Macaca fascicularis: one gene and its partners. The protein of the gene in region 2 interacts with the protein of the main gene of each other region in a pairwise test. Links are inferred from orthologs where the notes say so. Each region holds a gene or a part of one and is shown on either strand. Other genes may lie near its edges. The genes, in order: ANXA11, TFG, SPG21 and CSTF2.

Region 1 (7,960 bases), on a different chromosome or scaffold from region 2:
CTTCCTTTACTCAGCTGTTCAAGGTGAGTTCTTCCATCTCGCTGTGCCCATGACTTCAAACACAAACACAACCTAGACAAATGTCTGTCTAGCCAAGACTCCTCCTGAGCCCCAGACCCACCAGCTTATTTGGTATCTCAAAGATACCTCAAACATAGTATGTCCAAAACCAAATACATGATCTTCTTCATCCTCCAAACCTGGTCCTCATCCAGTGTCCCATGTCTCAGGGACACCAGGGGGATGACTCTAGGGTGAGTGGGGGCGGTCTCTTCTTTTAAGCACAGCACGCAGGGTGAGGCCAACAGTGGGTTCTCAGTAATGAGCCGTTCTACCGGAACATGCCTTGTCACCTACTTCCTAAAAATAGCCGTGACCTTTTTAGTGGACACAGCAAGCTCACATCTGCTATCACCACTCCTTCCCCACTGACACATGCACCCTTTCCCCCAGCGGTGCCACTCCCCAGGCTGGATGTGCCATATGCTCTCCAGCCTCCCCGTGGGTAGCCTCCACATTTCTCCTCTCTGCCCTCACTCAGATTTCCCCCCATCTCAAGTCCTCCAAGTCAGCCACCCCCAGGTGTGAGGGGCAGGGGACATCTGACTTCCCTCTCAATTTCCTTTCCTTCTTTTCTGCTAAGGCGGAGCCTAAGCCCCTGGAAAACTAGAGATCTCAGAACCAGGCTTTGACCACGGCATGCTCCACCCGCTGCTTCACAACTCCTGGCAGTCACACACCCACCATATCAACATTGTCATCACTACCCCCAACTGATCTCAAACCCCTTTGCAAACATCTTCTCATCTGATTCTCCATTCCAGGCAGGCATTTTATTATCCAGAACTGTTCTGTGTGTGGGGGGCTCAGTGTAGCTGGGTGGCTTGTCCCAGGATACCCAGCACAGAGAACTCTGTCCCCCAATTTCTTGGTTGCCCCCACCCATTCCTTCCTCACTTCAGCATGGGCAAGGCCAACTGTGGTCTGGGTCACTGTTCAGGCTGTACTTTTAGGATCCTCCCAAATAACAAACAACTATGTGACTATCAGGTCTTTATTTCATGGGTTATAGGAGACAGGATCAGTAGGCCTAATGTGTAACAGTTTCAGCGGTTATCAGAGAGTTCCACTGAACTGCAACAATTCCCTTTAAAAGCACAAATGCCCACCAAGAAAACCTCAGTTTCTTCATTCATCCTAACAGCTTTCCTATCTAGGTATCACTCAGAATTCCCACTATTCTGGGGGTCATGGGATCAGAGAGTGCTGCAGAGAAAAATCCACAGAAAGTGAAAAGTCTGTTTCCTTGGCAGTGCTGGTGAAGCACACCCTTGCACACACGCTTCCCCACGGGACCAAGTGCCAGGAACTGCTTCAGGCTTATGGGGGAAGACGGTGGCGAAGAAGAGAGAGGAGGCCGGGCACGGTGACTCACTCCTGTAATCCCAGCACTTTGGAAGGCTAAGGCGGGCAGATCATCTGAGGTCAGGAGTTCAAGACCAGCCTGGCCAACATGGTGAAGCCCCGTCTCTACTAAAAATACAAAAATTAGCCGGGCATGGTGGCGCATGCCTGTAATCCCAGCTACTCAGGAGGCCAAGGGAGGAGAATCATTTAAACCCAGGGAGCAGAGGTTGCAGTGAGCCAAGACTGTACCACTGCACTCCAGCCTGGGCGACAGAATGAGATCTGTCTCAACAAAAAATAAAAATTAAAAAAAGAGGGAGAAGAGGAGTGAATCCAGGAGGAAGGAGGGGGTGCACCAGAAAGGTCCTGGAACCTCTGATGTTCCAGCATTCAGCATGCATTTTGGTTCCACATTCACCTCCTGCCCACACCAGTTTCTTTTCTCTATTCTACAGTTCCCAAGAAGAACCCACACTAACCTATTCTGTCTCAACTCCCACTCCTGTCATCCCAAGTCACACATCACCTCCCCAATCATGTGAACTAGGCATCACTAATCGATCCTGGCCTTCTAGATACGTCCACCCAGGGTGAGCCCTTTCTATAATATCATGCATAAAGGCATCAGATGGGGCTTCCACTCCCACCTCTTAGTCCCAATTCATCTCCATCTCACCCTCCCCACATTTCTCTGCCTATCCAAATCCAGCCTTCAAGGTCCTATACTTTAACCACAGGGAAACTACTTCCCTGTGCTGCCTCTGTTGTTCAACTAACGACAACTAATTTTCTGAGCACCTACATTAGGCAAGGCCCATCCTGAGTGCTACCACCAAGAGGTAAGTCAGAAACAGCCTCCACCCTCCAGAGTCAGAAGACAGGGCAGAGATAAGCCACATGGCCACACAAACACTACGCACAAGGTGAGAGATGAGAACTGAGTCAGTGCTGGAGGGGCTGAGTGAGCTCAGAGCATATCCCATCCCTCCTGCTGGGCAGCAGGCACCAGGATGGCTCCCAGGAGGGTGGAGAATCCTGGGCCAGACGGGGAGGGAGGGCATTCCAGGAAGACAGACAGCATGAGCTTAGCATGAGCTAAGCCAGAAAGACGGTTCAGGAGAAGCGCATTTCAACTTTAGCTGAACCTTCCACTGCTACTATTTACTGACCCTTATACCTGATTATTTATGACCCAGGCCTGCCTCACACACTTTATGGCTAATCTGGGTGACACCCATCTGGGACACACAAGTGTGGTACAGCAGTCACCACCTGTTCTGACTGGTCCGTACCTGAGCGCTGTATGGTTATTAAATGAATGAATGCACTGAATCTCACAACAAACCTGTGAGGCAGGGATTAGTATTATCCCCATTTTACAGATGAGGAAACCAAAGCACAGACAATAGTCAGAGACAAGATAGCAAGGTATGCAGGAGCCTGAAGTAGTGGGCACCCAATGCCAGGGCAACAAACTGCCCTGGCACCTCACCTGGCCTCCCTTGTCAGGGAACACCTTGCAGCACAAAGAATGCGTTTAGGAAAGGGGGCCTGTTAATCCTCCTGGAATCCCCAACAGTTGACTGCCGCATAAAAGGAATGAGGAAAGCAATGAGAGAGCCAGTGAAGGGTGAGCATGCCCTGCAAACCTTTAGTCCCTGTTGCGTGGGCAGGGCAGGGGCTCGGCCTCACAGCTCCACTCCATGCCTAAGGCAGAGAACAGATGGGAGAACCACCACAAACGCCCAATCTCTACAGAGAGGTCACTGATTGGAGGGCAGAGACAGAAATGCCCCGGGCCGACTGTTTCCAGCTTGGGCTAGCACTGGCTGGCTTAACTTTTCCCCTCCAAAGTCTCTAGGTGACAAATTTCGCGTGTCTCCTTTAAACCAACAGACCGTTTTACCTTTCTAAGTCTTAAGGGCCTGGCCTGCACCCATGGGGAGATACAAGTCCAGGAATCCCTTCCTGAAACTGGGGATCAAAGTTGGGGAAGGGGCGAAGGGAGGCACAACATCGGGGATGGCTCCCGCATTCTCTCAAACATTGGGGAGAGTTCCTTACAAATAAACTGCAATGGTAGCAGCTCCCATGAATGTGCGTGCTCCCAGTTACGGAGGAAAGTTCCTGAAGATAGCCTTTTCTGCTTGCTCTCCCCCAGCCTTGCCTGAAAGAGCGCGCGCACCCCGGAGGGCCCCGCGGGGCTGCGGGGCTCGGCCTCCGGCATCCCTCCAGCCACCCGTTGCCTCCTCCGCCCAGGGTCACGGCCCCCGGCCTTACCCAAGCCCAGACTGAGACGCTGACCCCTGAGCCCGGGGGGGCCGGCGAGTGCACCCCGACCGCACAGGAGGGGGCAGCCCCCGACGCCGAAGCTTATTGAGGGGGCTGCCAAGCCGACACGGCCAGCCCGGGACCCGCCGACGCCTCCTCTGTCCCCCACCCCCACGCCTGTAATGCAACCAGGAAGCAGCAGGGCCGCGCTGGGCTGGGCGCGGGGCAGCCCCGGGCCTCACCTGCGGTGCCGCGGTGCACTGCCGCCGCCTGGTCCCAGGCCCCCGGCCGGCCCGGGACCCTCACTCACCTGGCCACGGGGACTCGGGACGCGAGGGGCGAAATGGGACTTGGGCGGGAGTGGCTCTCTCCGCGGGCGTCCCGGACGCGGTGCCTGGGTTCTGCCTGGCGCTGTGTCCCACTCCCGCTCGCGGGGCACTCGGGGCACTGGGGAGTCGCGGGCGCCGCAGCCTTCAGGGCGGGGCGGGAGGAGGAGCCTGCCGGGCGGAAAACTCCGCGGGCGCGGTTGCCCCAGGCGCCGGGGGAAGGGCAGGGAAGGGGCGAGGCCTGAGCGCGGCCCCGCCCCGAGATGAGGCTTGGGCAGGGCGGGCCCGCGAGCAGCAGCGCCCTTCCGGCTGCGCAGCTGCTCCAGGACGTCTCCGGCTCTGGAGGTCCCTCTGTCGCCCCTAACCCCCTGCAGCGCCCGGTGCAGCGCAGAGCCGCATTCGCCCTCCTGCAGGGGTGGGCATTTCCTAAATCCTCTCCAGCCCCGTGTGCGTCGTTAGTGACTCTCTTTAAGGTAAAGAAAACTTTTTACACTGAAAAGGTCAAACACATTTCTTTCATATCAACACTCAGTGGTGGTGGAGGGGGGAAGGTCACGCACAGTATGTGAGGAAGGGAGCGGTCAGTAACTATCATGGAGAAACCTGACCAACCACCCAGCCGTCAAGGTGACCTCGACAGCGGTAAATCATACTGATTGCATGCACCGCTTGTGGTCTTCCTCCCAAGAACACCTAATCCCACTGTAATCATGAGAAAAACATCACAAATCAATTGAGGCCCTTGCCATATACATGACCAGTACTCCTGAAAACTAGCAAGGTCATCAAAAACAAGGAAAGTGTAAGACACTGTCACAGCCAAGAGGAACCCACGGAGATATAAAAATGACATGTAAAGTGGTATCCTGAACGGGATCCTGGACAGATAGTAGGTAGAAACTAAGGACAACTGAATAAAATATGGACTTTAGTGCGTCAGTTTTGGTTTATTCATTGTGGCAAAAGCGCCACACCAATATAAGATGTTAGTAATAGGAAAAACTCGGGTTTATGAGAACTCCCTGTATTCACACTTTTTCTGTAAATCTAAAGACGTTCTAAAAAAAAAAAAAAAGCTTATTTTTAAAAGGTCACACAGGTAATATATGCATATATGGTAGGTATGCAATTTTTTTTTTTTTAATGTGTGGTGGCTGACACCTGTAATCTCACAGCACTTTGGAAGGCCAAGACAGCAGGATGGCTTGAAGACAGGGCTTCCAGACTAGCCTGGGCAACATAGTGAGACCCGGTCTCTAAAAAACTGAAAATAAAAAATTCAAAAAATGAATAAAAATTGAGATTCACTCTTCTCTCCACTCCCCCAGCCCACTCTTAGGCGTGTCCTTCCAAAATATCTCTCTTCAATACTGTGTGTGTGTGTGTGTGTGTGTTTACATAAACGTATTGTTTACAAAACAATATTGCAGTACTTTTCTGCAACATGTTTTTTTACTCACTATATCTTGGAGGGTCTTTCCATAGAAGCGCTCCCGAACAGACCTAGTTCTTCCCATCCGCTGCACACTGCGCGCCATCGTGCACTTCACCATTCTTCACTACCTAGCTCCTTACTGAAGGACATTTAGGTTGTTGCCTATGTTTGACTGTTACAAACAAGCTGCTGGTGCGATTTTCCTTTTTTTTTTTTTTTTTGAGATGGAGCCTCCCTCTGTCGCCCAGGTTGGAGTGCAGTGGTACGATCTCGGCTCACTGCAACTTCCGCCTCCCTGATTCAAGCAATTCTCCTTCCTCGGCCTCCCGAGTTGCTGGGTCTACAGATGCTCACCACCACGCCCGGCTAATTTTCATATTTTTAGTAGAGACGGGGTTTCACTATGTTGGCCACACGGATCTCGAACTCCTGGGCTCAAATGATCCGCCCGCCTCGGCCTCCCAAAGTGCTGGGATTACAGGCGTGAGCCACTGCGTCCGGCCCGATTTGCGTTTTAAAGTCGCTCCGAACAATAAAAGCGGGAAGGGCTGGAGGGGAGGCTCTGACCTTCTCCCTGTCTGGGCAGCTGTGCTGGTGCCGGGCAGGAACAGCGCCTTGCCTTGGGGCATCCTGGCCCCGGCCTCACAACCGGCCCTGAGCGCTCAGTCATATTCCGTGGCCGCTCCAACACCCCCGACCCCCACCAACAGGCGCGGCTCTCTTTCCGGGCTGGACCACATTTTTTGGACATGAGTCCGCGAGTGAGGGTGAAATTCAGGCCAAAGTCTCCAGAGCGGCTCGGAGAAAACGTCGCCTGGAACTGAAGAGCAGAGGGTCAGAGGCACCACCAGAAAGACTCTCAGAGTGGGTTACTACCCCGGTGGCGGCGCCCGCTGCGGCGTAGGAGATGGCAGGACTGAGGGCGCGGGTGTGAAGCCTCCAAGAAACTGGGTGAAGTTCCTGGAGTGGTAATGTCTCCAGGCGCTCTCTCTGGGCCCGGGGATTGGTCCGGGAAGGACTCCTGGCGCCGACCCAGCCCCCCTGCATGGACGCCTGCGCCAGCTCTGCAGCCCCACAGCGACCGCGAAGGCCAGCGTCTTTGAATGGCCCATTTTTCTCCGTGGCTGAGCGAATACCTAGAATACCAAGTTGATAATAAATCACGTAGGGTGGAATTCCTGCTGGATGTATACACCTTTCTGCGTCAGAGCTCTTCGAACCTAGAATGGTGAATTAGCTACCCCTGGGCTTACCCTTTTATAATTTTCAACAAACCTGCGTTTAGCCCCAGCTAGGTGCCAGCAAGCTACTAGGGACTGAGGAGCCTCTGCAGAGGACCCGAGCTGAGGTCCTAATCCTCAAGGCCAATGTCAGGGGTCACTGCCCAGGCACCCCCAGAGAACGCGGTGTGAAGGAAAAGACACCAAACTCGGTGTTCAAATGTGTGGGATCTATTCTAGTTCTGATTCTGACACTTGCAAGTCGTGCATCCTCCGAGCCTCGGCTTTCTCACCTATAAAATCTTCAACGTGACCTATAAAAATCCATAAAATCACCGCTGCTTCATTGTTTCCCAGGGCTCATAGAAACATCACACGAGGTAAGGGAAGGTGAGTGCCTGGTAAAAAATGGTGACTTGCTATATAGCTCTGAGTAGTATGGTGTATAAAGCTTCGTTTTTAAAAAAAATTTTATTTTATGTGAGTCAGGGCGCCCGGCCTCTTTTGTTGTTTTCTAATGAGTATATATGACTATCATTTCCCTCAAAAGTCTGCTTTAGCTGAATATCACAAGTTTTAATATGCTATGCTTTTGTTATCTCTTAGTTATAAATATTTGGATTTTGTTGTTGTTGTTGAGACAGAGTCTCGCGCTGTCGTCCAGGCTGGACTGCAGTGACACGATCTCGGCTCACTGCAACCTCCACCTCCGGGGTTCAAGAGATTTTCCTGCCTCAGCCTGCTGAGTAGCTGTGGTTACAGGTGCGCACCACCACACCCAGCTAATTTTCATATTTTTAGTAGAGATGGGGTTTTACCATTTTGGCCAGCCTGGTCTCCAACTCCTGACCTCAGGTGATCCACCCGCCTCAGCCTTCCAAAGTGTTGGGATTACAGGTGTCAGCCACTGTGCCTGGCCAATATTTTGTTTTTTATGTTAGTATTGTACGCTTAATTCGTGGACTATTTAGAAGTATATTTTCCATTCTTTTTTTGTTTTCAAACTTCAGTTTTTTAAAAAATAATAATAATCATTTGGGGAGGGGCCCAGTGGCTCAGGCATGTAATCCCAGCACTTTGGGAGGCCAAGGTGGGAAGATCACTTGAGACCAGGAGTTTAAGACCAGCCTGGGCAACACAGTGAGAGACGTCTCTACAAAAAATAAATAAATAAATAAAATTTAAATAAAAGTAAACCAATCATTTCATTGTTGATCTCTAACTTTACTGCTTGGACATGAGGAAATGTGTTCTTTTAGAATTTGTTAATGCTTTATTTGTGGCCTCATATACAGGTTTTT
Region 2 (7,495 bases):
AGGGTTCTCCAGAGGGATGGAACCAATAAGATACATGGGAGTTTTTTTAGGGAGAATTGCAAGGTGATTACAAGGTGAAGTCCCATGATAGGCCATCTGCAAGCTGGGGAAAGAGAGAAGCTGATGCTGATAGTGGCTCAGTGACTCAGTCCAAGTCCAAAAGCTTGAAAACCAGGGAAGCTGATAGTGCAGCCTTTGTCTGTTGCCAAAGGCCTGAGAGTCCCCTGAGAAGCTGCTAATACAAGCCCTAGAGTCCAGAGGCCAAAACTGGAGTCTCTTGTCCTGGAGTCTGATGTCCAAGGGCAGGAGGAGTGGAAGCAAGCATCTGGCATAGGAAGGAGAGCAAGCTAAAGACCCAACAAGCAAACTTCTTCTGCCTGTTTTGTCATAGCTGCGCTGGCAGCTGATCGGGTGGTGCCCACCAACACTAAAGATGGGTCTTCCTCTCCTGGTTCACTGATTCAAATGTCAATCTCCTCTGGTAACAAACACCCTCACAGACACACCTGGAAACAGTACTTTACCAATCATTTGGCGTTCCTCAATCCAATCAAGCTGACAACTAATATTAACTTAATTAATTTAAACTTAGTTAATTTAAACTTTTAATTGAATATAATTTGGAGCTTAGTGCTCTTAAACCCACTAAGTAGATAATAACAGATTATAGGCCATACTAGGCATGTAAGTGCAAGGTTCTTGAGACTAAAGCTGTAGTTGGTAAAGCAGTAGCAGTCACTCATATTAGCCAGGATAAAAGGTTGTTTGGTCATTTTTCTGGTGTGGTCAGCGTTCTTGTTTTTGTCTGAATTTTGACATGGTTATGGACTGTTGATCTATCACAGATGATAGTCTTCTGTGATGTTGGTGTTCTTTGAAATATTTATGTTCAACAGGAGAACACCACAGCCTACCTGTGAGTGCCAGGCCAGCCTCTAGCAACACTAAGGCCTATCTTACTATACCAGACCAGTTTCTGGCTGCTAGGAGCTATTTTTCTCCTCTAATATGGGAGAAAAAACAGTAATACCAAGTGAAAACCAATAATTAATTGATGTAGGTAGGAGATTGTATTGAACTTCATAGCTATGCAGGGAGTATGTGAATTACTGGTGAGTTTTTTTCTAAAAGCTTATAATTGGTGGTTTGATTTCGAAACATATTTAACAAAGAATTGCCCTGAACTTTTATTTTCACATAGATGGCCTTTTCTAATTAGGTGCTTCAGGAGTTTGTGTGTATGTATACTGGCAATGCATAAAGCATTTTAGTTTAATTTTCGAACTCCTGTCTTGGGGTTTGCAATCAGAGCCTTGTGTCACTTTTTTTTCTTTTCTTTTTAAAAATAACCTGAGTGTTGACAGTGTTTGTTGCTGAATGAAGGAATTCATTTTTTTCAGTCAACTGAAAATCATTTGGTCTGGCATCAAATCATTTGACTTTTTTCCCAAAATAAGTTATTAGCCATAGAGAATTCCTTTTTTTAAAAAAAGTTACTCCATGACATCAATATCTTGTTTTTGTTTTTTTAAAGGAATTGTATTTATTTTTCCTTGTTGCATATTATTAGTATACTTATTCATGAACTTCTAATTTTAAGCAAATAAATGTTTTTATTTCAGTTAATGGCCAGCCAAGACCCCTTGAATCAAGTCAGGTGAAATATCTCCGTCGAGAACTGATAGAACTTCGAAATAAAGTGAATCGTTTATTGGATAGCTTGGAACCACCTGGAGAACCTGGACCTTCCACCAATATTCCTGAAAATGGTAAACCCTGAATCCATTGTATTCTGATTTATTGTTCTTACGTCTTTTTGGAGGTTTGTAAAAACTCTTTTTAAGTAGGAGAAGGATGGCACCCCCAGTGTCACTCTTGTTCCTCTGCCTCTCTACTAGTATTTATGTCTGTGTTCCTAAACCTTGCTGTTCATCAAGATTACTAGGAGGTTTCATTATACCAATTCCTGGATCTCATCATAGACCTACTGGAGTTTAGGAACTGGAAATCCCATTTTTAAAGTGTTTTCTGGGTGATTCGTTCACAACTAGTCTTAGACTTTTGGATTTGTTACACAGGTCAGTTTTCAAATCCTCTTGACACATGACCCTTTTTAGTATAATAGGTAAGTAATGAACCTTGGGAATTGAAAATCATTTCATGAATATTACGTAGTGTTGGAAGTAGTTTCAACTAAAAATCACTTAGATTAGTAATATTCATTAAAAATGGTACATTGTAAAGTTGAAACACAATTTTTAATAATATTTAAAGAAAAACTTTTTTTCCCCCATTTTATAGATGACATGTACTATTTGTGTTAAGATAAAGCAAGAAGTATCGACATTTGGAACTGACATAATTTTGGGACCAAATGTATTTTAAAATGTGGACTGAAATTTAAGTATGTGTTATGACTTGAAAGTAGAGTTAAAAAACTGCTTTCTTCTTTTAAGATTCTTAGATGTTGCATTTAAAGAAAACTCATTATTTTTTACAACTTGTTTGCTTATAATTTTCATATGTTTAGAACTGTCCATATTGTGAAATTAATTAAAAAGAAGTCTGGTCTGGATGACTGCATGTAAAGGGCTTAACACAAGATAATTTTTGTGGATAAATGGCATGTATTCTGTTTTTGGCCATTAAATAATTTGGGAGTTTTTGTTTTCTGTGTTTATTTTAGTTACAGTTTAAATAAAGACGTATTTTCCATCATTACTCTCTTCCTGTCTTCTAATAATCATGTGGAATTATGTTAATGATAGATAGTTAATAAATATTTGGTGATTGATTGGTGATTTCTAGTTCCACTTCTATTTCAGAACATAATGGGACAATTTTTCTAGAAGAATTCATAGATGCTGACACAACATTTGCATATAATTTCAGGGGATTTAACCATCTGCAAAATATTAAGAAATGTAGATGAGAATTTAACCAGTATAGCCAGTACTGTTCAGAAATTAGCTACAGTGGCCCACATTCTACTCTCAGGAATGGATTTATGAATTTGTTGGTTTAGGTGAAACTTTTTCCTCACCTATTTCTAGCTACTGTTTATACTTCATTCTTTGTTTCTGTATTTTTATACATATTATTGTTAGCTTTTTACCTATGTTAACGTAAAAGATGTTAAAATTGGTTTCTTCTCTGCATCTTGGAAGTCATGCCATGTGTTGTTTTCTTGTATGGCCATCTTCTAGTTATTGTGTCCTGTCTGACGTATCTGATGATAAGATGATATAAGAATAATACAATCTGCATTTTATTTTTAGAGATAGTTCTAATTTTAAAAAACAAAAACAAAAAAAAGCGCCCTACATCAGAAACTGAAATCTAGTCCACAAAATGAAATTGCCAATCAGCTATCAGTGCTATTCAGAACCTGTGGATTACCCTCACCAAGAAACATGGCTGCCTGTGGTCTTCAGCTCTCTATTACAGTGGTTCTTGGATGCTTGTTTTCCTCCAAGAGGCAAATGGTGTGTAAACTACCTTAGATAGAAGATTGACCTGTTGGCAGTATCTCCAGCAGTTAATGGAGCAAGTAGTAGGACATATAGTGTGTTTCCTGATCGTTATAGTTTGTGATAAGTGAAAAGAGGCATAGGTAGTGAGATGTGAGGGGAAACAATTGGTAAGAGTGACGTGGTATGCTCTTGGGATTAGAGGAAGGAACTTGGTAGGGAAGGTAGATAACTGGTAGACGTGTTTTAAAGGAATAGTTCTAGGGGTTTTCCTTTTCCAAAAACTTAGAAAATATTAGGGTAGCCTGGAATGGTATGTTAGGAATGAATGAGCTGCCAGCCAGTGTGTGCTGTGGGTATTTATATTCCTTTAGCACTTAGTTTTTTTCAGAAGATACATTTTGTATTGATTACTGGGGTGATCTAAGAACAGATATTCATTTACTTACTTGGTAACAAAAGTGATAATCATTGTTCCTTAATTGAGTAAATGATTAACAACAGTCCTTTTGTTTACTTGTTCGTGTGTTTTGTTTGTTTTGATGTCTTTTGTATCTTGGACTTGGATTCCTATTTGTAAAATGTAGGTTATTCTTGAACTCTTTCTTTCGAAAGACAGTAGTATAAATGCCTGTGGAATATCTTAGTATCCTTAGAAGAAAAGCATGATTTTAAATTTAACCTGCTTATAATATTTAACATTTTGTTTTTTGTTGTTGTTGTTTTAAACATTTTATTATAGAAAAGTTTAAGTATATACGAAAGTAGACATTATAATGAATCCCATAAACCCACATACAATTTCAACAGTTACCAACTTATGGTATCATATAATTATGGTACACACACTTTCACCACTCCTGTTACCCAGACTGGAGTGCAGTGGTACGATCTCAGCTCACTACAAACTTCTCCTCCTGGGTTCAAGTGATTCTTGTGACTCAGCCTCCTGAGTAGCTGGGATTACAGGCATGCATCACTGTGCCTGGCTAATTTTTGTATTTTTGGTAGAGATGGGGTTTTGCTAGGCTGGTCTCGAGCTCCTGGCCTCAAGTGATCTACCCACCTTGGCCTCCCGCCGAGATTACAGACATGAGCTATCGCACCCGGCTCCCCTCCTGTATTATTTTGATGCAGATCCCATATACATCATTTTATCTGTAAGCATTTGAATAAGTATTTTAATAAGTAATACATATTAAAATAGAAGGTAGCAAATTCAAAAATGTTTTTAATGTGCTATTTATGGAAGATTATGAATTAATTATGGTTGGCTTGATTTCCATGTAATTTAGTAGTGGACCACTAGACAGTAAAAATGAAATGTTAAATTTGAGATTATAACTTTAGTTAAGTTTCTTTTTATAAAATAAAGCCTTAGTTCCTATAATTGTTATTTCCAGAGTGCCCAGTGGGTATCTGATACTAGGATATAGGTCATTGGGCTCCAAAAAAAAACCAAAACAGTAAAATGTTTCTCTTTATCCAGGAGCTTGTATTTTTTTCATCTAATATTTCTTATGAAAGGAGGTAAATAACTTTTTTGGAAAAGCTGTTGTTAATCTTCTGTTTCTTTTTGCCCTCTCCTCCCTGGTACTAGAAGTAAAAATACAAAAAAGTATAAAGAAAGTAAAATGATTTATAATCTTATATTCAGACATACTTAATATTCCAGACTATCGTTGTACACATACGTTATTTCCCTATCTTGTACGTTTAGGCCTTACCGAGTATAGATAAAAAGGAAACACGTTTTTGTTTATTCCTCTCTTCTTGCAGATACTGTGGATGGTAGGGAAGAAAAGCCTGCTTCTGATTCTTCTGGAAAACAGTCTACTCAGGTTATGGCAGCAAGTATGTCTGCTTTTGATCCTTTAAAAAACCAAGATGAAATCAATAAAAATGTTATGTCAGCGTTTGGCTTAACAGATGATCAGGTTTCAGGTAAGTTAGTTTCCAACTCCTTTATACCCTTCCTTTCCTTCATCTTTCCTTTCTTTCCTTTCGTTCTTTCTTTAATTGAAGAATAACTTGGATATGGTGAAGTGCACAAGTCTTAAGTGTTCTGTTTAACAAATTTTTACATATTTGTACACTTATGTAAAAGACTAACTAGATTAAGATGTAGATTATTTCCAATACTCAGAAAACTTTCTTATGTCCTCTCCCCAACAGTAGCACCCTCCCCCTTAAAGAATAACCACTGTTGGGTTCAAGTAAATTTTTGAAAGTAAAATTTAGAAAGTTTGCAAAAATCTGAACTATTTTATAATTTGATTAGTTGCAGTATTCGAATTATATTTGATTTGTCTTTTCTCTTAGAGAAATTGAAAATTATATGTAGATTTTCTGGTTAAATTGCTTGAGTATAGAGTGGATTTGTATATAAACAAATTTTTAACCTTAAAGCAGTACCTATATTGTTTTATTCTTTTTAACTTTTGGTTATAATTTCTTTATTATTTTTTCCCGCTTCTTTTTCTCTTTTCGGATTCTAATAACACATTAGAGAGCTTGATACTCTCTCATGGGTCGTTAAGGTTCATTTTTCTTCAGTCTTCTCTCTGTTCTTCAGGTTGGGTGATTTCTGTTGAACTCTTCAGGGTCACTGTGATTTCTAATATGCTGTTGAACCTTTCTAGTGAATTATTTAATTGTGCTTTCAGTTCTAGAATTTCCATTGAGTTTTTATAGTTTCTGTTTTTCTGTTGAGATTATTTGACATTCATTAAGACTACATTTTCCTTTAATTATTTGAATGTATTTATGTTTGATTCTTTAAAAATATTTAGAATAGCTGCTTTAAAATGTTTATCTGCAACATCTAACACTTGGACCCATTTGGAGTCAGTTTCTGTTGACCGGGTTCCTCTCCCCCACACACACTCCCCAACTCCCGTAGGGTCACATTTTTCTGTTTCTTTGCCTGTCTAATAGTGTTTGGTCGAAAACTAGACATTCTGGTTAATATGTTGTAGTGACTTGGGATTCTTTATATTCTTTTGAGGATCTGGCAGGGAGTTCATTTGTGTGGACTTTATCAATATAAATAACAAACAGAAAAGGGCTCTCTAAAAGAAAAAGGTATTTGGGAATAGAGCATTACATTGAAAATATGCATGCCATAGTAAACTGTGTGCATATTCAGTGAGGTAAAGTCAGACAAAATTTTTAAAGGAAAAATGAGAATACGTAATTGTTTTGAAATAATTATTGTTGGCTACGAAGATCATTAGCAAGAGTGATGCCAGTCTGAGGTTGGACAGGCAGTTTCTGGGCAGATGTCCTCACAGTCACAGAAGTATTGATTTATTTATTTTTGTAAAGTTGTGATGGCCTTTGTGTAGGCTTGTGGTTTTTGAACTCTTTTGTGATAGTTTTTCTAAGAATCCTCTCTTCATGGCCATATCAGAGTTTTTTATATTTTTTAACATTAATGACTTCATTTTGGTTTTGATAACTTTCACATACTCAAAACTACTCCTCCTTTCTCCCTATGGTGTATAGCAGCTGATATGTATGCTCAGTCCTTTCAGCTTGCTCCAGGTGCTGCTTTTTCTCTGAGCCTTCTTGAGATCTCCTCCTCCGCTCTCCCAGCCCTACAGTCAGCTGTGGATTTGGGCGGAGTATATATACCTAGATTTTGGGTCTTACCCTTTCAGTGGCACCCTCACTTCAGGGATTTTCCTCCTAAATCTTCAGCTGCTTGTCCAGCCATGAGGTGGTTAACACTGTGGTTTTCTGCCATTGGAGCTGCAGAGGTCAGCGCTTTTAATTCTTATCCATTCTAGTTTTATTGGGGTAAACTCTGGTTTCTGATTGACTTTCAGTTATTTCAAATAGTTTCTTTCGTTCATGTTTTTAGTTGTTACCTGGGGGAGAGTTTATCTGATGGATTTACTTTGCCTTTATCAGTAGTTGGAAATGTATACGGTGTATTCATTTTGTATTTCTTAGAGACTTTCATGGAATTACTCACTAAATAAAATTGTGTGAAAATCTGATGTGGTCAGACTTTTAAATTT
Region 3 (6,414 bases), on a different chromosome or scaffold from region 2:
TTGTTTTTGAGATGAAGTCTCGCTCAGTTGCCCAGGCTGGAGTGCAATGGCGCGATCTCAGCTCACTGCAAGCTCTGCCTCCCGGGTTCATGCCATTCTCCTGCTTCAGCCTCCCAAGTAGCTGGGACTACAGGCGCCCGCCACCACGTCCAGCTAATTTTTTGTATTTTTAGTAGAGACGGGGTTTCACCATGTTAGCCAGGATAGTCTCAATCTCCTGACCTCATGATCTGCCCACCTCAGCCTCCCAAAGTGCTGGGATTACAGGCATGAGCCACTGCACCCAGCCAAATATGGTATTTTTAATCATCGGTTTTTGTCAGGAAATTATCTCTTATTAGCGTGTAAACAACTTCTTATCCTCTGCCATAATCGCTGCATTCTAACATTTACCGTAACATAGAACAAGCTTTTCAATGGTCCTCACAGGACGTTTGCTCTGCTTGCTCTTCTTTCAAAGCTGTGCTCACCCCCTGGGTTCATGGTCACTGAAAACGGCCTATAAGTTTTAGTTGGAGATGCACTTAAACATACAGATTTAGTATGGTATATTTAGTGTACAATACTTTTTGCTTCTTTTACTTTTTGAAAAATTTTGTTGCATGTAAAAACATAAATGTATATGGGTATTGAAAAATGTCTAGAGTCATATGCTGCAAACTGGCTTCCCCAAGAAAGAGTAGCTTATACTCTTTACATTTTTTTGGAATTTTTTTCACTGAGCCTAAATGACTTAGGTTGTTGCTTTAAGTTAATAATAAAAGTAAAAAGTTCTTTGGGGGCCTCATGATCTTTTTGAAATTTATTGGCATTTGCAATGATTGTTCTCTATTATTCTGTTAATCTACTTAGCTATATTTGAGGAAAAAGGAAGTTCATGGTAGAATTTCCCCCCACCCCAGCCGAGCCCGGTGACTCACATTTGTAATCCCAGCATTTTGGGAGGCTGAGGTGGGCAGATCACCTGCGGTCAGGAGTTCAAGACCAGCCTGGACAACATGGTGAAACCCCGTCTCTACTAAAAATACAAAAATTAGCCAGGTATGGTGGCACATGCCTGTAATCCCAGCTACTCAGGAGGCTGAGGCAGGAAAATCGCTTGAACCCAGGAGGTGGAGGTTGCAGTGAGTCAAGATGGTACCACTGCACTCCAGCCTGGGCGACAGAGCAAGACTCCATCTCAAAAAAAAAAAAAAAAAAAGAACTTCCCCCCACCAAAAGAATGCAGGAGATGCTCTGCAGCGAAATCTGTAGCTATTGTCCTAGGTTGGACTTAGAAGTCACCAGGGATCAGCAGTGGAGGTAGTTCAGGCTGCTAGGGGTTCAGAATTGTCTCTTCATATGAAAGGAATACTTAGGGTAGCATTTCCATAGTGTGAAAAGAACATATTAAAACACCAATCGATTACAGCTTTGTGTATGTGTGTGTGTGTTTTACCTTTCCTATGGTGCTGAAGCTTTATGTTTTTTTAAAGGTGTTTGATCAGAGTGCACTTTCAACTGAAGCTAAAGAAGAAATGTACAAGCTGTATCCTAATGCCCGAAGAGCTCACCTGAAAACAGGAGGCAATTTCCCATACCTGTGCAGAAGTGCAGAGGTGAATCTTTATGTACAGGTAAGGCCTAGCTTGAAACCCAGAGCACTCTGAGCCCAACATACGTTTGCAACATAAAGCCTTTTTTTTTAATGGACTAGTAAGGGAATCAGGGAACTACAGAATTCCTTGTAGGAATGAGGCATTGACTTGATAAAAGTGGTTTACATTTATAATTTGTAGGATAATGTGAACAGGTGTATTAGAGATCCCTTTTCTAAGGACAGCAGGCCTGCATTCACACACCGAGGTTACCATTGGTATGATGTGACCTTGCCCTCTGGACATAGTGAATTCCGTCAGAGCAAGACATCCGACCTAAATGGGGTCAATCTGAGTCTTGTGAAGTGACTTCTTGATCTAATTTTAATGCACTAAAAGAAAACCCTGCCAAGCGCAGTGGCCCATGCCTGTAATCTCAGCACTTTGGGAGGCTGAGGTGGGCAGATCACAAGGTCAGGAGTTCAAGACCAGACTGGCTAATATAGTGAAACCCTGTCTCTACTAAAAATACAAAAAAATTAACTGGACATGGTAGCGTGCACCTGTAGTCCCAGCTACTCAGGAGGCTGAGGCAGAAGAATCTCTTGAACCCTGGAGGCAGAGGTTATAGTGAGCCGAGATGACACCATTGCATTCCAGCCCGGGCGACAGAGCAAGACTCCATCTCAAAAAAAAAAAAAAAGAAAGCACTAACAAACACCATCCCTTCATACTCTAACTAAATGGATAATAGAATAGCAGTGAAGGGTGAGTGCCCTGGCAATTTGGCAAGAAGAATCAAGAGCCTTAAAAAACCAGTCATATTCCTTGATCCTGTCATCCCCTTATAGAAGACAGGGTCCTAAAGACAGGATCCTAAACAGGAAAACTTGATGCCCGGAGATATTCATCATAGCAGCACTAGTCACAGTAGCAGAAGATTGGAAGGACCTAACTCAGCGGAAGGGAAGGGTAAACGTCTCATCAGCATGCACAGTCTAAGATGTCTCAGGAGACTCTGCAGGGACTCAGGGAGACTGCTCAGGGAGTGAGGAACAAAGATCCCAAATGTAGTTTCAAAAAATTCTTTGACTTTTCTCTATTTAGTATGTATTAGTCTGTAAATTTTAGAAGTATAAGACATTTGTCTACTATGGTGATGTTTTCCTACCAAACTTTTTATAGAGGGCAGTATACATTTTACTCTGTAATGCAGCTATTTAAAATAATGATTCTGGCAGGGTGCGGTGGCTCACACCTGTAATCCCATCTCTTTGGGAGGCCGAGACAGATGGATCAACTGAGGTCAGGAGTTTGAAACCAGCCTGGCCAACATGGTGAAACCCTGTCTCTACTAAAAATACAAAAATTAGCTGGGCGTGGTGGCAGGCACCTGTAATCCCAACTACTCAGGAGGCTGAGGCAGGAGAATTGGGTGAACCCGGGAGGCAGAGGTTGGAGTGAGCAAGATAGTACCACTGCACTCCAGCCTGGGCGACAAGAGTGACTCTCCAGCTCAAAAAATAAAATAAAATAAAATCATGATTCTGCATTTCAACAGATACATTTGCTACAATTCCATGGAACCAAATACGCAGCCATTGACCCATCAATGGTCAGTGCCGAGGAGCTTGAGGTACAGAAAGGCAGCCTTGGCATCAACCAGGAGGAGCAGTAGTGTGTGTCTCGCTGTCAATGATGAGTTGACCCGGTGTGTTCTCGTATAGTCAGTGGCATCAGCGCCCGCCAGTCGGCCTTTTCCTTCAGGTTCGTCAAGCTCACCGGTTCTCACTGTGTCTGGGAAGTAGGACTGATGGTCATCTTCGTGACAGGCAGCAGCTCCACTAAGCCTGAGCAAGTGTTCCCTCTTGGTTTTCTTAGCTTTTGAATTTGAAGAAGTACTTTCGAAGATTCCCATTTTAAGAACCATGCGAATTTTGCTACCAAAAGTCTTCACCACTGTGTTCTTAAATGAATGTTAACTTCTGAGGTTTGGAACTTTGTGGTGTTTTTTCCTTCTTTTCTTTTCCATTCTTCTTTCTTTCTTTTTATGTTGTTTGCTGTAAATGCTGCACATCCAGATTGCATATTGGGACATTGGTTATTTTATGCTTTCTTGGATATAACCATGATCAGAGTGCCATGGCCACTACCCCACTGTTTGCTCTCCTGCAAATCAACTGCTTTTAATTTACACTTAAGCAAATTGTTTTGAGTGTTAGCTACTGCCTTTCTAGCTATTACAGTCATTTGGAATAAAAATTCAGTTTCACTGAGTCGCTTTTGTGATTATTGTTGCTGCCCAACTGGGCTACACAGGCTTAGGACTTTCTGAGAAGTAGGTCATGGTTGTCAATTCTGTGTGACTTTGGGTAAGTTACTTAATCTCCCAGAAGTACAGTTTGCACATCATAAAATAACCCTAAGCTATCGTTTATTGATCTACTGTGTGCCAGGTACCTTTCTTATCTTCATTCTTTCCCCTGAGTGGAAATGTTTAAACCCACATAAAGTAGAGGAAATGGCATAATAAATGATGTCCCCATCACCCAGCTTCAAAAATTATCAACTCTCAGTCTTGCTTATGTCTTTTTTTTTTTTTTTTTGAGACGGAGTTTCGCTCTTGTTGCCTAGGCTGGAGTGCAATGGCGTGATCTCAACTCACCACAACCTCCACCTCCTGAGTTCAAGCGATTCTCCTGCCTCAGCCTCCCGAGTAGCTGGGATTACAGGCATGCACCACCACCCTGGCTAATTTTGTATTTTTAGTAGAGTCAGGGTTTCTCCATGTTGGTCAGGCTGGTCTCAAACTCCCGACCTCAGGTGATCCGCCCGCCTCAGCCTCCCAAAGTGCTGGAATTACAGGCGTGAACCGCCGTGCCCAGCCTTGTTCATCTTTTAACCTACCCGCATTTCTTCCACACATGCTGCTATCGCTAAATTATTTTAAAGCCATTTCTGGTGCTGTATCATTTCATCTGTAAGTATTTCTATGTGTACCTTTAAAATACAGCCTTAATACCATTATCACACTTAAAAATTTACCGATAATTCCTTCAATTATTTACCAATAATTCCTTCACTATATTGTCTAATAATCCAGTGAATGTTCTCACTCACAATTATTCCATAATTTTTTTTTTAGGTGACTTGTTCTAATCGGGTTTCATATATAGTCCACACTTTGTATTTGATTGAAGTGTCTCTTAGATTCCTTTTGAACTGGAAGCTCCTCCTCCCTCTATTTTTTTCTTGCCATATATTCAGTGAAGAAGCAGGTTCATTTGCCCTGTAGTTGCCCCACAGTCCAGATTTTCCAACTGCAGCCTCATGGTGTCCTTCCACTTGTTTCTCTGTCCCTGGTATTTCCTGTAAACTGGTAGTTACATCAAGAGGCTTGATCAGGTCAAGCTCGATCTTTTTGGCAAGAACACTGCATAGGTGGGGCTGTGTGTTTCTCTTGCCTCATCTCAAGAGGCACATCACATCTGGTTGTGTCTAAGTTGTTATGATTGCTGGGTGTGTTCCGGCATCATCAGCCTGATCCAGTCCTGAGAAAGTCTGCTGGCTTACCTGCCACTGCTGACCATTGCACAGATGCATCATTCCATTAGGGGTTGCAGAACAGTAATAATACTAATTTTTATCTTTCCTTCTGCATTTATTAACTGGAAATTACCAATTTAAAAAAACCAAAAACTTGCCCTCATCAACTGCTTGGTTTCGCTGAGGTACAATTTAGACAGAAAAATAAGCATCAGCGCTTCTTTCCCTTTATGTGCCAGGTTTCGGAATATTGGGTTGGCCATACCTTCTTAGACTTCATCCCCAGTACAGCCCTGATTATCCTGACTTTACAGGTGAGGACCTGGAGACTGGGAGAGGTCAAGAGACTTGCTCAGGGTCAAGCAGTAAGGGGTGGAGCTGGGATGCCAACTTGAGTCTGACCATCCCTAAAACCAGTGATCTTTCCACAAAGGGGCCACAGTGTCTTCTCTATCTGTGGCTTGACAACAGTCGTGAGTTATGGAAACACTTGGTAAACCATAAGGGCGAAGCTTGACATTTTAACTAGTAGCATCTGAGGCTACTAGAGCCGTCTGACAGCTTTAACTACTCCCCAGCTCTGCACCCTGATGACTGCAAGTTGTCATTGCCAGCCCTGATCAATTTTGAGTACTGGTCTTGAATGCGTACTCAGGCCTATCAGGCCAGCCTTTGACAGGCATCCCAGCCTTCGACAGACTACCAGGCTAAAGCTGGTAGTCTAGCCCTATTATCTTAGGTCCTGGCATCACTGTTCCTTGGAATCCCCAGTTAGGAACGCAGCCATCTTAGACCCTCCACCCCCACTCACTCCTCCACCCCTATGTCTCAGGCTGAAGTGGATGTGGAGATGAAATTTGGGGTGCAAGATGTTTATTAAGGATCAACATCTGTGGCCTGGTGTGGTGGCTCACACCTGTAATCCCAGCACTTTGGGAGACCAAGGAGGTTGGATCACCTGAGGTCGGGAGTTCAAGACCAGCCAGGCCAACATAGAAAAACCCAGTCTCTACTAAAAATACAAAAAAAATTGCCAGACCTAGCGGCATGTGCCTGTAACCCCAGTTACTCGGGAGGCTGAAGCCGGAGAATCACTTGAACCAGAGAGGCGGAGGTTACAGTGAGCTGAGATGGAGTGCCACTGCACTCCAGCCTAAGCAATAGAGTGAGACTCAATCTTCAAAACAAAACAAAAAGACATCTGTGAAAAGAAGATGGATTGAGCAGACAGCGAAATTGAACTGTGATCCAGGCCTGATCAAGTACCCGCCAACTCGGTAGGGCACACAGG
Region 4 (7,495 bases), on a different chromosome or scaffold from region 2:
TGCTGTGGTATCGCATGCCTGTGTCCTAGCTACTCAGGAGGCTGAGACAGGAGAATTGCTTCAACCCAAGAGGTGGAGACAGCAGTGAGCCAAGATCGTGCCACTGCACTCCAGCCTGGGCAACAGAGCGAGACTCTATCTCAGGGAAAAAAAAAAGAAAAAGTTTTAAAAAATATTTCTGTGAGGCTGTCAGAGCTGTAAAGTTATTTATGTTACAGTGGGCCCAATTAAAGCATGGCAATGTTAGCAGGAACCCTGTATGTGTGTAACATTTGTTCCTGACACTTGGTTCTGCTCTCCAGATTGGTATATGATAGAGAGACAGGAAAGCCAAAGGGTTATGGCTTCTGTGAATACCAAGACCAAGAGACAGCACTTAGTGCCATGCGGAACCTGAATGGGCGTGAATTCAGTGGGAGAGCACTTCGAGTGGACAATGCTGCCAGTGAAAAGAACAAAGAAGAGCTGAAGAGTGAGTACAAATCCAACTTGGATGCAGTGTGAGTTAGTAAAGATGTAACAATGAAGATTTTCCGTTTCTGCTATGTTTTAGAATATGCTGAAATGGTTAGCCACACAGCTTGTTTATTACTTGACTGATCTGATGTGCCTGAGTTAGGCAAGTATTATATATATCTTTTAAAAAATTTTTTATAAATTTTTTTTCAAGTAATTGTCTGAAATTTCTATACCCTTGCTCTGGATGGAGCAGGGCAAGGCCTCAAACCATTTCAAAACTGTTCTGGCAAGCACTGTAGGAATGCATAGGGTCACTGCAGACCTAAGCATGCTGGAGACTTGCTAGTAAGTGTATATCTTTAAGAAACTGTAAAGTTGACATTAGAAATGCTTCAGTTGCTCCAGCCTGGGCAACAGAGTGAGACTGTCTCCAAAAAAAAAAAAAAAAAAAAAAACGAAATTTTTCCATTGTTAAGGAGTTATTTCCAGTTAAAGATGAATTCAAATTCATCAAGCCATTAGTAGTACTAACTATGGCATTAGTCATTCCTGTCACTGTTTTCAGGAGTTTTTGAAATTAGCATGTTTTTCTCTTTTAACATTTTGTTTCTGAAATGACTTGTCAAAAGAAGTCAGTGTTCCCAGTTCTCTAACTTAGGTTAACATTGTCCTTCCATGTGATCATGATCCCCAGCTTTCCTCTGAGAACAGAAAATACACTCTCACTTTCCTCCACAGAAACAAGAGGCTTTCAAATCATTTATTTCTCAGCTCTGGAGAATCTAAAATTATCAGCTGGTTCTTACAGCAGCCCTGAAAAATAGATACTTGAAATGATTTAGCTTTTTGTTTTGCCTCCCTAACTTTCTTGTACTTTCTTCTTGATTAGGCCTTGGCACTGGTGCCCCTGTCATTGAGTCACCTTATGGAGAGACCATCAGTCCTGAGGATGCCCCTGAGTCCATTAGCAAAGCAGTTGCCAGCCTTCCACCAGAGCAGATGTTTGAGCTGATGAAACAAATGAAGGTGGGAGGAGGCATTAGGTTATGAATAAAGCAAACCACATCAGGTTTTCAAGGAGTTAATTGAATCAGTTCCCTGAGCTCAAATAGAAATTGTCTGTAGACCACCATTTCTTGCACCTTCAATATTCTGTATGTACACAGTATATTTTACATTTTGTACAAAGAGCTTTCTATTTTTGTACACAAACACAGCTATCCAAACAATCCAGCTGGATTTTTGTGGCCCATAGATGTCAGATGTAGATATTAAAATTTGGCTTTTTTCCTAAATGATAGTATCACAGTATTTGAAATGCCTCTTTCTTCTCTTGCCTGCCATGACCAAGGTTTTTTTGTGCCATGCAAAAACTAATGATAAAGAGCCTCTTGAATATTACATTTCTCAGAGGGGAATGACTCTAAATCACTATCAGTTTCTAAGTCATAAGTATTAAACCTGAATCTGCTTATCTTCTCAGCTCTGTGTCCAGAATAGTCCCCAGGAGGCACGGAACATGTTGCTTCAGAACCCTCAACTGGCTTATGCTTTGCTGCAAGCACAGGTAGTGATGAGAATTGTGGATCCGGAAATTGCCCTGGTGAGTGCTTCTGGTTCTTTTATGGAAATGGTCGGGTAAACCTTGAGTGGGATAGGAACTACCTGATTGCTTTGTTAAACAGACAGCTTATAGGTTTGTCTTTTCACTTTTTAGAAAATTCTGCATCGCCAGACAAATATCCCAACGCTGATTGCAGGCAACCCTCAGCCAGTCCATGGTGCTGGGCCTGGGTCAGGATCCAATGTGTCAATGAACCAGCAGAATCCTCAGGCCCCTCAGGCCCAGTCTTTGGTAGGGCTTTATCCCTTAACATTTTTTTTTTATCTGTCTTAGAATGTCATTTTCTTTTTAGGAGAATATATTGAAAGAAGAATGGTCAGGAACCAGAGATGATAATTTCAATTTCCAGGCATAAAAGCAATTTCCAGGTTGCAGAGCACATGACATCTGAATGAATATAGATTCGATTCCAAGTTTGTAAAACAAAGAGATCCTTCCTGTATGCCCTTTTCTTATAAGCTAACTTTGTGTGTATGTGCATGCCTGGCACTGTGGTTGGCACTTTGTTATTCCATATGCATTATCTCATTTAATCCTCAAAGCAATTGTATGAGGTTGGCACTCTTATTATCTCCATTCTTACCAATGAAAAAAGTAAAGCTTGCTTTCAAAGCATGACACAAAACCCTAAAGCCATAAAAAATTGATACATTTGAAAACTAAAAAATTTCTATATAAAGAAAAAAATAAGTATCAAAGACATGACAAATTGAGAAAAAGTATTTGCCACACATGTGATGGACAACAGACTAATAAAGAGCCCATAGTCATGCACAGAAATGTTTATTGCCTTAGAGTGAAAAATTGGAAATGTCCTAAATGTACATCAATGGAAGAATGGAGAAAATGTGTGGTACATTCATCCAGTGAAATACTGTACAACAGTTAAATGAACTACACGTATCAACATGAATGACTCTGAAAAACATAATTCCATACAGCAGTTAAGATGAACTAGGATACATAATATCAACACAAATAACTCCAAAACAATAACATACGGACATGAAACTAAGTGAATGTGGATGCATTCCCGAAATGTAGGATATATGTTTCTGCATAAATCCCCAAAATATGTGGAGTGAGTTTCAAAATAATATATTGAGTATGTAATGATTCCTATAAAATTTTAAAACATTAGGAAGATGTCTTAGCGGTCATCTAAGGAGAAGAGAGCACAGGATGCAATTGGGGAAGACCATACAGGCCATTGGTGTATTTTATTGTTTATTTCCCAAGCTGCGTGGCTATTTTATTTCCTATATGATTTGTATATCTGTAATTTTTCATAATACATTTTAAAAGGCCTCCTATAAATTAGTAAGAAAATTTCCAATAACCCAGTAGAAAAATGGGAAATGGACATAAATATTTCACAAAAGTAGAAATATAAAGTAAATATATAAAAATGTATTCAACCTCAAAATAAGATAATGTAATAAATTATTAATACATGTAACGTTAAAAGATAATGTAAATAGAAACTACAATAAGCTACCATTTTTCATCTCTCAGATTGGCAGAGGTATAGGGCAGGAGCCAGCAAACATTTTTCTGTAAATGATCAGATAGTAAATATTTTTGGCTTTGCAAGCCACAGGATCTGCCACAGCTACTCTGCCATGGTAGTATGAAATCAGCCATAGGCAATATGTGAACAAGTGTGTGTGGTTGTGTTCCAATAAAAGTTTGTTTACAAAACCAGGCAGTGAGCCCGATTTGACCCATGGGTCATCGTTTGCCAGCTCCTGCTCTAAATAAATAAATACGTTTTCAGAGATAGAAAAGAGAGGTTAGCTAGTCCAAAAATGGACACAATTGTAAGTGGCAGATATAGTTCTGAACCTGGTTTTATCTGACCTCATACCCAGTTTTCTCTTAACTACCTTCCTATACAGCTCTTCCTTTTCTGTTGTAGAGTTTTGTGTTCCTTAAACGTGTATGTAATTTTTTTTTATATAACTTGGCTTTTATTCTTTATTTATTGAGCTGTTTCTTTTTCAAGGGACTACGCAGTTTTTTGGGGAATGCACAGATGAAAAGTTGACATTCTCTTTTTCTCAAAGAGTTTTAATGTAGCATTAAAAAAAAAAAATTCACATTCCCCCAGAACCAGAATTATGTCTAAGGACAGGAGTGAGAAAAGATTGGTTAAATTTAAATTTAAAAAAAAAAAAGAAGAAGAACATTTAATTTTAAAAATGTGGACTACTAGCAGTTGTTGTGTTTTTTTAAAAAGAGGCCCAGTCTCCTTTTTTCTTTCTTGGGTTTAGGGCTTTTTTTTTTTTTTTTTAAACTCTTATTGCCAGGCCCCAGTCATGAAGTTAACAATAGGTGCTATGTGCTGCCTTGCCACACAGATAAGACTTGTCAATCTCTACATTGAGAATATGTTCCATCTTAACCGTGTTCCATATAACCAGGCTCATGATGTGTATTGCAACTTGCTTCTGTGGAGTTTAAAGTGTGTGACAAATCTAATGCTGCATAAGACATGCCATACAAAAAGGATGTTTGGTAGTATATTTGGGGCTGTTCATTTGAAGAGGACTTTTAAGGTCATAGACTTAGTATTGAGTCTCCACCGAGGCATGTACATACTCTGTTTTTTTTTTTTCTTGGTCAGGGTGGAATGCATGTCAATGGCGCACCTCCTCTGATGCAAGCTTCTATGCAGGGTGGAGTTCCAGCACCAGGGCAAATACCAACCGCTGTCACAGGACCTGGCCCTGGTTCCTTAGCTCCTGGAGGTAAGTTTCATTTAGTCTTCGCCATTTCAGTACTCGCTAAAGTTTTGTCATAGGCACTGCTGCAGTGCAGCCAAATATGATAATGGGATCCTTAGGTAAAATTAATCCACAGCTAGAAAGTATATAACTTAGGTGGAGGAAATAGTAGATTTCTTATGTTAAATCCTACATGTCTAATTATAAGAACATGGAAAGGGACAGTAAAGTGAAAGAGCATAGTAAAACTTCCAAGTTAATGAGGGGGAAAATGGAATGAGTGAAAACGAAATCAAGCCAGCAAAAATAGAGAAAAGAAAAAAAGGAAGAGGCAGTGTAAAATAAGTAGTAGTAAATGTAGAGTAAGATGGAAGGAATAAAAACTAATGTAGTTGTTACTGTGCTAAATATGAATGAACTATTGGGTTCAAAAGCTCATGAAGAAAACAGACAAAAAAACACAAGGTCACATTTGTTATATCATATTAAACTGACGTAAAATTGTATTTTAACAAACATAATCAGACCAAACAACAAAAGGGAAAAAGAGAAACTTAAAAGTTATATACATTTATTGAAAGTGTATAGATAGGCAATTAATAATAGTATTGCTCATATACTTGTAACTGTTCCTTGTTCAACAATTGTAACTAAGAAGATTGAGTGAAATAATGATTCCCCGTATGAAACATCTGTATGAACACATGATGTATTACCAATATTTGAAGTTTTTTTATGTAACAAACTTGCTTCTTGTTAATTTATCTAATCTAGGGTACGTTGAGTACAACACTAGTCATGGAGAATGATTTAATTCTAAATTGTCCTGTTCTGTAGAGAATCCAGTCTGCAGAGCTAAGTTGATGAGGAATGGAAGAAGAGATTTTTTAAAGAAATTTCTGCAAACTCAGCAATTTTTTGTATCTACTTCAGGATTGTTATGTATCTGCTTTATCCTAATAGAGTTATACTTATATTTAGATTATCTTTCATGAGAGGAGATCCATGAGTAAGTGATACTGTTTTCCTGTATTATAGAAGAGCTTCCTGCTAAGAGTTTGGTAACCAATGAGATGAATTTTTCTTATTGAACTCACTATTCTGTCACTGAAACAAAGTACAAATTGTAAATATACTAACAAACCGCATCTTCTATCTCATTGCATTGTTGAATATCTTCCTTTGTAGGTTTCTGCTTGTGGAGCAGAATGAGGAAATTTGTAAACTCAGCCCCTGTTCTAAGTTTTCTTTTCTGCTGTTCTAATTGGTGTTTTTTCTTGTCTGCCCTTTGTCTTCTAGGAGGAATGCAGGCTCAGGTTGGAATGCCAGGAAGTGGACCAGTGTCCATGGAACGGGGACAAGGTAAATAAATGTTTATGTCTAACTAATGTGAATTGGTCTTGGAAGTGTTCCACATCCACAGTATCTAATATGGCAGCCACTAACCACCCATGGCTATTTCAATATTAAGTTAATTAAAATTAAGTAAAATTTAAAACTCAGTTCCTTAGTCACAATAGCCACATTCCAAGTGCTCAGTGACCCTAGGTAACTAGTGGATACCACACAGGACATTGCAGATATAGACCATTTCTGTCATCGTAAAAAGATTTATTGGACAGTGCTGGTCTAGACTTTCCACCTGGTGATTCAGAGCCCAGCTCTACAAGAATTGATAATGAAGCAAGTGGATCCTTTGTTTCCTGATTCCTAGTCTAATAATTCCACTGACATGTTCTCTCTCCCTGTATGGGTATCTGTTGACTGATTAAGGAATTTTAATAATGAGCATGTAAATATGTGGCTGGGTATGTAGAAGACTAGATTTAAACCCCAGAGAAAACTGGAAGGGGATCATAGGTCTGTAAAGCCTACTTAATGAACATCTGTTGTGCCGTGGCTGTACTGCTGTATACAACAGTAGCTGCCGTTCCAAAATCTCCACATTATGTCTTCATGTTACTGGAGTTTGAAGGACAAGAAAGTGCAGTGGTTCAGTTGGAAACAATGTTAGGAGGAGAGATGGTAAGAAAAGAAAAGGAACTGAGTGCATACTATATGCCAGGTACTTTAATTTTCATAAATAATCTTGTGAGTTAGGTGGCAGCACCTCAGTTTTACAGGCAAAGAGTTGGAAGCTCAGAATAAGTTACTTACTCAAGGGGACAAGGTAAGTAAATATTAATGTATGAGTAATCTGGACTGGATTTGGTGCTCTTATTCTCTTTTCCAGCTAATAAGTGGCAGAGCTAAGATTCAGAAGTCTTTGACTCCAAAATCTGTCCTCTTTCTGTCACTCCACACTGCCTGTTAACTTCCACTTACATTCCTCAGTGTCTTCTACTCTTATTCCTTGGGAATAAGATGATGGGAAAGACTGTTTTGGACAAGCATAGAGAAGCTTAAGGTTTTTTCTTCTGTAGCATATGGCTTATAAGTGGAACCCATTTAAAAAGCAAAATATTGGCTAGGTGCAGTGGCTCATGCCTGTAATCCCAGCACTTTGGGAGGCTGAGGTGGGTGGATCGCTTGAGCTCAGAGGTTTGAAACCAACCTAGGCAACATGGCAAAACCCTGTCTCTATAAAAAATACAAAAACTAGATGGGCAATGGTGGTGTGCACTTGTGGTCTCAACTACTTGGGAGGCCGAAGTGGAAGGATCACTTGAGCCCAACAGATTGAGGC

The links.
Region 1: the proteins of TFG (region 2) and ANXA11 interact in binary tests that used the Homo sapiens proteins (3 or more experiments, as listed by UniProt). The two-hybrid records come from large-scale screens. The link is inferred for Macaca fascicularis from reciprocal best matches to the Homo sapiens genes TFG and ANXA11.
Region 3: the proteins of TFG (region 2) and SPG21 interact in binary tests that used the Homo sapiens proteins (3 or more experiments, as listed by UniProt). The two-hybrid records come from large-scale screens. The link is inferred for Macaca fascicularis from reciprocal best matches to the Homo sapiens genes TFG and SPG21.
Region 4: the proteins of TFG (region 2) and CSTF2 interact in binary tests that used the Homo sapiens proteins (3 or more experiments, as listed by UniProt). The two-hybrid records come from large-scale screens. The link is inferred for Macaca fascicularis from reciprocal best matches to the Homo sapiens genes TFG and CSTF2.

The regions. Positions count from the first base shown.
Region 1 is NC_088383.1:66,603,352-66,611,311, reverse strand, and holds the start of ANXA11 (annexin A11), read right to left. Parts: upstream 4,128-7,960; 5' UTR 3,989-4,127; exon of another isoform or gene 3,921-3,988; intron 3,865-3,920; exon of another isoform or gene 3,688-3,864; intron 54-3,687; 5' UTR 1-53. UniProt on the Homo sapiens protein: Binds specifically to calcyclin in a calcium-dependent manner. Required for midbody formation and completion of the terminal phase of cytokinesis.
Region 2 is NC_088376.1:182,315,015-182,322,509, reverse strand, and holds part of TFG (protein TFG), read left to right. Parts: intron 1-1,622; coding exon 1,623-1,769; intron 1,770-5,249; coding exon 5,250-5,414; intron 5,415-7,495. UniProt on the Homo sapiens protein: Plays a role in the normal dynamic function of the endoplasmic reticulum (ER) and its associated microtubules. Required for secretory cargo traffic from the endoplasmic reticulum to the Golgi apparatus.
Region 3 is NC_088381.1:41,550,681-41,557,094, reverse strand, and holds the end of SPG21 (maspardin), read left to right. Parts: intron 1-1,475; coding exon 1,476-1,616; intron 1,617-3,138; coding exon 3,139-3,255; 3' UTR 3,256-3,853; downstream 3,854-6,414. UniProt on the Homo sapiens protein: May play a role as a negative regulatory factor in CD4-dependent T-cell activation.
Region 4 is NC_088395.1:107,486,390-107,493,884, forward strand, and holds part of CSTF2 (cleavage stimulation factor subunit 2), read left to right. Parts: intron 1-302; coding exon 303-472; intron 473-671; exon of another isoform or gene 672-804; intron 805-1,348; coding exon 1,349-1,485; intron 1,486-1,942; coding exon 1,943-2,062; intron 2,063-2,176; coding exon 2,177-2,314; intron 2,315-4,709; coding exon 4,710-4,833; intron 4,834-6,108; coding exon 6,109-6,171; intron 6,172-7,495. UniProt on the Homo sapiens protein: One of the multiple factors required for polyadenylation and 3'-end cleavage of mammalian pre-mRNAs. This subunit is directly involved in the binding to pre-mRNAs.